Drosophila melanogaster: one gene and its partner. The protein of the gene in region 1 interacts with the protein of each later gene in a pairwise test. Each region holds a gene or a part of one and is shown on either strand. Other genes may lie near its edges.

Region 1 (4,742 bases):
AAATAAAATTTAAATTATAGATCATACTTTTAAGGGTAGCGAATAGGTTTACCTAATACGACCCAATCGAAATATCACAAGTCGATGGAATTCGTAGGCTATAGTCAGACAACAACACAGCGAAAATGGAAGTAAAATCAACACTAAAATCCATGATACGAACACCGCTACTTTTTCAACGATATAATTGCTGTTATCTTCAAGGGAAAAAATTAAAGTAAATAAATCATATATATGCGGTTCCTTGAGGTCCTGCAATACTTACCATCTTCCGGGGTGGGTTCCACATTATCTTGCTTCTCTGTTTCGACTGCATATCGCTCCCTCATTACAAGAAATTTTTGGATGACAGTTAAAATATATCGATTTCATTGAATGTTTTTTCAAATGTAAGTTATTTCCGGTATTTAATCCACTCAATCCACTTATTGCACTTTTCCAGGTTTAAATAAATTCGAATTTAATCATTTGCATATTGCGCTCGCAGTGGCAACTGAAGAACTTAAATTTTATTTGAAATTTTTGAAATTACATTTTTCCTGCAAGCTCCTCGAGTGGCTAACTTTTTTCGGCAGCAAAAACAGAATGGTGAGTTACAAATAAAAATTGTCCACAAAATAAAATAGAAGGCAGAAACTTTATCGCAGAGCGAAGCTGGCCAAAGTTCATAGGGCAAAAGGAGGAAAACTTTTGTTTTCTCGCCTTCTTTGCTGTATGTTCCTTTTTTCATTTTCATGAAGCGACAAACAAATGGAAACTGACTGGACCTGGCTTTAATACTGCACAATGGTTTGTGGAGCGGGGTAATAACTTCGAAATGACTTTTGTTGCTTCCTTGTGGCAGTCTGTAAGTTGCCACTCTTTTTTTATACAACTCTTATACATTTTTGTTTTTTTTTTTTGCCTTTCCGTGACCACATGTGCCAGGCTGAAAGAAAGTTTTCCTTCTCTCACCAGATTCATGGCCCAAACGCCATCATAAAGTAATTTATGTGATTTGACCATTCTTCTGGTGACCACCCCAGTCCGGCCATCCAGATCTGAACCTCCTGCTACAATATATCTGATTGCAAGTGCAGCGACATATGGTCAAGTCCGAGTTTGAGTCCGAGCCCGAGTCCGGATCCAACTCGAAGTCCAGCCAATTATCCTGGCGCGTCACATAGAAAATTACTCTATTATATTTCGCTCTGATGATGGATAAAGTTATTAGTCCCCAAGGGGGCAAGTGTGTCGGCTGTGGGTTGTGTGTTCTGCGATGAACTGCGAAACAAAGAGCAAATGAATGTCCTGACCCGCTCTGATAAACTAATCCATCATTGTCAGATGTCAGTTGTCGGGACGGGAAATGGGGCTTCCTCGCATGGAACGTACGTACGTTTGTACATACGTGGCCAGGTAGGTGGGTAAAAACGAGCGAACTGCGGAGGAAAACAATACGAGATCCACCTGTTGCCTGATGGAAGGTGGCAAATTAATGGCTTTTCAGTGCAGTCTCAGATACCGATGCAATTGCCTCAATCATCGCCGATAAGTGTGTTGGCGTGTGAATTGAGCACCGATGGGTTGAACGATGCATGCGAAAAGGTATTTATCAGTGCCCGGGTTTTTACGTAACATAGTGACACCCAGTTGCAATTTAAGCACAAATGGGTGTGCAGCTTAAGAGGGACATCAGTATCCTTGCATTGAATCAGCATTCCATTTATTAATATTTCAAAAACTACAGCCCATATATGACGAAAAGTGGGCGTGTTAACTTAAATCTAAAATGATTTAGTTCAGTCTAAACTTTCAACATATGCATACATCAATCAAAATTTTAAGTAATTTTTTTTAGACTATTTATTATTTTATTTTTCGCGATACCAACTAAATTGTTGAAGTAAACCATGCTGGATAAGCCAGCCCCAGTGGGGGCCTCATGGTACACCAATCTGTCCGACTTCCAGGTGCAGGCCGTCGAGGCACTGGCCTTCTCGATTCGGGATGACAATGCGGAGGGTACTGTGTACCGCACCCAGTTCTGTCTCAGTCGCTTGGGAGTCACGCCCATGGTAAAGACCCGGATGTTGCGGAAGCTAATTGGGATTTGTCGCGGCAGCGACTTGGCATTCCTTTACTTTCTGATGGAGGCCTGCTATAAGGGCACAGGATCTGCGTACAGTGAACGGATCCTGATGTCCGCCATCACCTTTTTGGATCTGGAGATGACCATGAGGGAACTGGACAAAATACTGCCGCCGGGAGTGGAACGGCTGAATAAGAAAGAGTCGATAGCTCCGCCAGTGGATTATCGCTCCATGTCGTTGCCAACACCTTTACCGACCAAACGGGAATCGGATCTCCGAAAGGTCCGCTCGCCCTACTTTACCCCGTTGCCCAAACCAAAGCTACCCAAGGGTGGCGAGAAGTTCACTGCCAAGAGACCCTGCCTCGTGGTCTCCTTTCCATTCTGGCCCGCTGGCGAGAGGCCCAACTACAAGGTGAACGAGGAGAACCGCTGGTTCGCCGCTTACAGGTTCCAGCCGGTGAAGCGGATGCTCTTCAAGATGGTCGGCGACATCATGACCGACTACTGGACAAAGATAGATGGTACTCAACCGGCGGAGAACGAAGCGATGCCCATGTGCGAGTTCCACAAGGAGGCACTGCGGCAGGAGCAGCTGGTGAAGGATGCAGCTGTGGTCAAGGCCCACAAACAGTGCTTGGCTCTCGTGGATATCACTTCACGGCAGGATGCCCTCCTTAAGAAACGTATCGTGGCCCAGTTGGAAAGGGACATTGAGGAGGTCACGCTGCGTTGGAAACGACTTCGTGAGCGCCACCATACGGATGTCATGTTGTTGGAGGATCACGATCAGATGTGTTCGGTGGGCAAAGTGCCTACGGCTGTGCAGGATATCAGGATAAAGTACCTATCCCAGGAAGCGGACATCGGGCGTCTGAGTGCCAAACCCACCTTGGGTATCCATGTGATCACCGGCAGGGGTAACGTGAGTCGGTTAAGTAAAGTGCGGGTCTCGGATCCCGATGATGACATCCCATGCCCCACGGTACCCGTGGAGCAAAAGCTGGCCAAATGTCCACCCCCTATACTGGGACACATCAAACGTCCGCGGAAGGTGTCCATCACAAAATCCAAATTCGGCGACGATAAGCAGTCTTCCTGCAAGAAACCATCGAAGCCAGGACGCTTTTTTGAAGCTCCTCACCAGCACAGTCCCTTTGTGTTCAAATACCATGCGGTTGCACCGCAGGATCAAAATCCAGATACCAAGGATGTGATTCGTGCCCAGGCCATTCGCACCTTAAAGGAGCAAAGTTGCCCCTCAAGCGAGGATAACTACAACGGACGGATCAATCCCCGAGACCAGGTGGTGGCGGCCATCGTTGAGTGCGCCCAAAACATGTGGTTTGGCTCCCTGGAGGCTCATCAACGGCGCCTGTCATCTGGCCAATCCGAAAGACCAACGACTATTGAAGTGCCAGCCAAAAATGAGCCGGAAGAAATCTGCAAAACAAATGATGCCCTAGATTGGACAAAGACAATCAAGAAGTTCGACCCCAACAACCAACATTTAATGGAGCGCCTGCTGCGGGATGGATTTTCCGTACTGAGGCAGGATCCACGCTGCGTCTTCGCCGCTTTTCCCGACTCGCACAAATCCTTTGTGATGGTCGAGTGGATTAAGCGTCGATATGGGAAGACCTACTGCCACGAAGAGATTGTTGATACGATTGAAAAGGGACTGGCCACATTTGTGCATGTTGAGAACCAACTAAACGAAGCACCCAGCGCCAAGCGCGAAGGATTCTCGGCAAAGGACACTTTTGACGACTTTAAACGTCTGGAGGCGTTGTGCAAGAAATTAAAAACCGAATACCGAATGCCGCTCAACGACAAGATCCTGACCCTGACAAGAATCTGCTGGAGTGCCCTGAGTCCCCACTTGGCCAGAAGCTCATCCATGCTCAAAACCTTCTTCGCCTATCTGCCAGTTCGATACGCAGACATGCTGAAATAGGATGAAGATCATTATTTGGATTACAAACTAATTGTTGCTAAATTGTTTGTTGTTAAATTGTTTGTAGTGTTTAGTTTTAATGTTTATTGATATTGCATATGATATAATCGTATATGTTTACCCCGAAGGATTGAAGGTTTTTTTTTTATTTCGACATATTTAATTGAATAGGAATGGAATATGTATTCGCTTTTAAAGTAAGAAGATATTCTATTTAATCAATTTCAATTAAATTGGAAAATGAGAGAAGTAAACTATTTACAGTACAGATTTTAGATAATAGTGTAAATATAAATTAGCCCCGCTGCCTTCTAAGAAGAACTATTCAAACTAAACATATTCAATATAAGCGAGAAAATTTAATTAATGACCGGCATACAAATAAGTGGATAGCGTGCCGTGGCATGGCATGTCCTTCAGAATCCCCGCAAAATTCATTGAAATTACCAAGCGTGAAATGAGCAGCTGTCACAGCGGCACAAAGGACACCCTGAACAAGGCGACTTGAGTCGACTCCTGTCCGACATGCAAAGCCCACGATGAAGGCGTAGAAGAACGATATTCCGATATTCACACTCGCCGATTCTGGTTTTTCGATTAATTCCACTATTTGTGAAATAAGAATCCTAGCTTAGTTCTGCCACAAGTTGCTGCCAAAGTGATAGGATTTCATATAATAAGAACCTTAAGCATGATAGATGCAATAATAAATAT
Region 2 (4,872 bases), 1.9 Mb from region 1:
ATATGTAAATGGAAATACATATGTACATGCAGATGCTTGCAACACACATTGTCGATATGAATGCATTTGCATTCGTGTTTATAGTTACCTAGGGAGTTTCATTAATATAGAAACATGTGTAACTTCGTCATATCAAATCAGCACCTGTTTTGATTGTACTGGAAAATGTTAGCATCACGCTTTGATTAAGTTCTTTTCAGTTTAGCTCGTGAATCAAAAAGCTTTTCATCCTGAATGGAGATTCCCTGCAGCTCAGTTTGCTAAGCCAAAAGATAATTTAATTTAATGGCAGTTTTTCTGAAGTTAAGTGTGCGTTTATCGTATTAGAAGGTCAATACAGTCCGCGACATCGCTGACAGGCGCGCACGCACGCTGGCAACGTGACAAATGGTTTAATTTGGCGAATTTTACACATTGCTGCAGTTGTTCTCGCAATTGCTGACAGCCGCGTTCTTCAATTTATATAACACTAATTAGAATCGAGTACTTCGGTTTCAGCTGGACCGCTATTTAATTGAATGGATGTTCCATACGGATGTGAACATATATGTATGTACCATTGGTTCGTTCGCCATACATATATTTATGTCTTTATCCTCCTCTACAAACACTGCTCCTGTCAGGATGATTTTCAGTGGCCAGACAGCAGGACATTCCGTGCGCAGAGAGACACATAATCTGGACGACGGTTTTTTGCATTTACAACAGTTTAAGTTACAGATAATTCAATTAATTACACGCTGGGCGACCTCGACAGCATCGTTAGCCATCAACAGACAGTCGCTGAATTAATTCATTTCCCTGCCATTCCAATTCACTTTTACTGGCTTGAAAACAAAGTAGTTACTCGCTAATTAAAACTTTAGCGTTTGCACAGATTTTTCATACATATATTGTGTTTTATATTGTTAACGAATGAAAAAGTTCTGTGTCCCCTGGTGAGTTTGAAAATAGGATGCATCCTGCCAATGTTTGCAAAAAGCTTATGTATCTTTTGTGCAAACTACACTATAGTTGCTTTTAGCTGCCACACCATATACAGCTGTGTATTAATTTCGTTCTCCACAAGTGCATATATTTGAAAAGTTATAAAACACCTGGGAAATGCATATTTCCGAGAACATTTTATGTTCGATTATACTGCAGTTGCAACCACGGAGGACAGACTGTACCCGCCTCGATACAGTAATCATGTAAATTTCCCCTTTTTGCGCAATTGAAGGCGACCTTTATTTATGGCGACGCGCCAATTAAATCGCCGTTGATTGGAAAGCAGTAAAGTGCAGGCGAAAAACTTCCAAAGACACAAAAACAAAAGCCCGACGGAATGCAGATCCCGAGCAACAAGTTGGCGGGCAGCGTCTGACATTAAACCCTAACTAGATCACTGGATGTGGATGTCGATGTGGTGCAGATGGAGGCGGTTTGGTAACCACGATGGTGGGTTACACGTTATGAGCTACCTGTTAATATGCAGCCCCACCACCTGACTGACAAACTAAACCACATTGCATTGACTGACTGACTGAATCTCGAATGCGCATATTATTAGCCAGCGGAATTAGTCAATAAGCTGTGGTTGCCACCAACCATCGCTAGATGTTTATTGTTTCAGTTTTTTGCCGCTGTTTCTATGGCAGAATTATGAGAATGGCAATTTCAGGGCTCCTCTTAAATCGGCACTAATTAGGCCTGCCTTTTTCATGCCAAAGCCCAATCAATTATAAATTTTCGACGAGCACAGTTTGCACCAATTATGAAATTTCTCTAATGAGCACGAAGGACAATCTGCCCAAATGGCCGAAGCAGAAACAAACAAGAAACTCGAGCATTGAAATTTCCGAAGTTGCGATTTTCCAGCTGATTTAAACTTTAAGGACTCTTTCTTTTGAAATTACCAAACCATCTTCATACCTTATACTATCTTGTAATCTAGCTATCTAGCATGAAAAATCTTAGCTAGTTGCAAGACTAAAAAAAAAAAGACTAATATTAATGTAGTTGGGATTGTAAATATTTGGCACACGTGTGCGGGTGAGCACTTAAAGATTCCGTGTTCCCAAAATAGCCCTTTCCCGGATATTATTTGTTTTATTTGCAAGAAAGGGCGGAGTAAGAGAAGAAGGCCAATTCAACCCAATACCATAGAGTCCAATCCAATTCAATCCAATCCCTTCATTTTTGGAGCCAAACGAACGCAACTCACCTCGTGGGCCTTTGGATGCTGGTGTTGGCAGTTGTGAGCGGTGGCCGAAACGAGGAGCCAAGAGCAGATGCCGAGGGCTGCCAGGAATTTGGCCATGTTACCGTGGGGGCGGAGCGGGGGCGTTTTGGCCATGGTGTTTTACTTCGGGGTGGAATATCGCCGTGGATATTATAGAGTACTCAGCATTGTAGCGGTGATCCTTTTCATTGTCAGGATTAGTGTGATTTTTGTTTAATTATCACTTGACTTCGAACACCCATATCTGCACTTAAAATTCTTTGTTTATTTTCCTCTTTGGTTTGCTTATGTTTGCTGCTTTTCCGCCGTTTGCTTTGTCAATTAACTCGCGAAAACCGGCTCGATTCGAATCCCTTTCCTCTCACTCGCACACATAAACAACTCGCACACACACGTACATACGCACACACAGAGACACTCAATTATTGGGGCCTTTGGACTACTTTTTGTTTTTGTTTTCGGGTGGGTGTGTCCCAATCTCAGCCCACGCCAAAAAAATGTGCATAAAACTACAGCAAACTACAAACTGCAGTTAGCCGCAAAAGGAGGAACAAACTCGCACTTAAATGTCAAATTCTCATGAACTGTCCGTGCAGCGAGAGCATTCTGTAGGACTCACTGCCATACCCGACACAGTGGGCACTCAATAAGCGCATTCGTCGAGCCTTTTCATTCAGCAAAACCATAAAAACACTCGCGCGAAAAGGGGGCGTTTGGGTACCGGCGGGGGTGGTTGGCACGAACAACAAACTTAGAGAGACGCGAGTCGAATCGTCCGACAACGACGTTAACGTTCGCCAGCCGATTTTGTTTTGAATCGAGTCTCTATACATATGCATAAGTACATGGACACAAGGACAGAGTGGCCATTCAACGAAAACGAAAAACGCGTTCTTATGCTTTTCCGAATCTGGTAACACCTCTTATTAGCGCTAAAAAATTACGTTGCCTATCGATATTTCGAATCGACTTTTTTAAAAATCAAGCGTCAAGACATGGATAATTCAATTCTTACTGCTTATGGTCACACCAAAAAGATAACAGAAATGTTACGAGAGATTAGAGTTCAGTGATGGCTAACGTACAAGTGCATCTAACAGGTTGGCATAAAAAACAATAAAAAATACCCTTTACGCTTATTAGATTTTAATATATACTTTCAAAAAAAAACCGCTCTCTAAATTTTATATAAAAATAAAATTTTATTAAAATACCATGACTAAAAATATGTTACTTTGAACCAACTTTTATTTGCCGCCTTAATCTAGTGATGTACGTTTTCATAGAAGAAACGGACGATATATCGAATCAATCGAAGAACGGATGATATCGTTGTAAACATAGATCATTCCCCACCACTATCACATGCACGATTTGTGTACAACCGCGAGTTTGATTAATAATATAATTTAAATCTGATACCGTCAAGAGAAAGTCCCAAAAATGGAGGAAGTTCTCGAGACGATGCAGCTGGAGAACATGCACTGCGATGTGTGCGAGGGTACCACCTTCCAGGAGCGCGAGGGATTCTACTACTGCGTAGAGTGTGGCACACAGAAGGATCAGATTCGTGCAGTGGACATTACCGCCGAGGATAACTTTGATGACACGGCAGCAGGCCGATATACAGCCAGGACGATCCGACAGAAGAAGGATACGGAGAAGGAGGATGAGGACGATATCACCTCGTGGGAATTCTACAACTACGTGCTGCGCGGCTTCCTCCAGGAGCTGCTCAACATGGGCGCCAAGCCGGAGCTCAAACTGATGACCCTGCAAGTGTGGGCGGCTTACTTGGACAGCATGGAGGTGGCCTTCAGCAAGAGCAACAAGACGGGACTGCCTAAACTGAATGTGCGGGCGCTGCCCATGTGGGTTCTTGCATTCTCCTAAAATTTCTTATTTTTAAATTCCGAATTCTTTCAGAGATGCCCGCATCATCTACAACCATAAGACATTCAAGAAAGGCAAAAAGGGCAAGAAGAGCACTCTAACGGGTGACCCAAATGACGAGCGCGCCAAGTTCAGATTGTGGAACAGAACTAAGGTAGTTTATTAGCCGCTGGTAGTCGGTATAAAGGGCAAGAAGAGCACTCTAACGGGTGACCCAAATGACGAGCGCGCCAAGTTCAGATTGTGGAACAGAACTAAGGTAGTTTATTAGCCGCTGGTAGTCGGTATATAGAATTGGTTAGGAAACAGCAGGGGCAGCAGCAGGAAAAGGGTCCGTTGGTAGTCATTATACATGGGTTTTGCTGTATTTATCTCCTGTACTGGATTAGAATCTGTGGCGAATATGTTGGATGAACAATAAGCGTTAGGATTAGTTTATCTAATTACTTTCAGTGACTTCTGGAGCTCCGGGAACAGGTTGTCCGTAGGCCAATGCCAGGATGGCCACGCCAATTAGAACCAGACGCATGGACATATTTGCAACGACACACTTTACCAAATTGCTGCTGACTTGAACACGTTCGTCTTTTATAGCTCCACAAGCTATATAAATGACATAGTTAGCCTATTCATTAGTGATGTTTACTCAGATGCGACTGTAACACCTTGATCCCATTCCTTTTGCAGCGCAATCTAGACGCCTCCGGCTACCGCTCGCACGGAGGAGCTTCAGAGTCCGAAGGGGAGCAGAGTCT

What was found.
Region 2: the proteins of ssp5 (region 1) and Invadolysin interact in a two-hybrid assay, tested with the Drosophila melanogaster proteins (one large-scale study listed by BioGRID).

Annotation. Positions count from the first base shown.
Region 1 is NT_033777.3:12,031,373-12,036,114, forward strand, and holds ssp5 (short spindle 5), read left to right. Parts: upstream 1-1,769; 5' UTR 1,770-1,892; coding exon 1,893-4,028; 3' UTR 4,029-4,153; downstream 4,154-4,742. Other genes in the region: CG31358 (uncharacterized protein), read right to left, coding at 53-197, 266-329.
Region 2 is NT_033777.3:10,142,867-10,147,738, reverse strand, and holds the start of Invadolysin (invadolysin), read right to left. Parts: upstream 3,072-4,872; 5' UTR 2,339-3,071; coding exon 2,207-2,338; intron 1-2,206. Other genes in the region: CG42759 (uncharacterized protein), read right to left, coding at 4,385-4,509, 4,565-4,652; TAF1B (TATA box-binding protein-associated factor RNA polymerase I subunit B), read left to right, coding at 3,668-4,095, 4,151-4,271, 4,805-4,872. UniProt on the Drosophila melanogaster protein: Essential for the coordination of mitotic progression, and also plays a role in cell migration.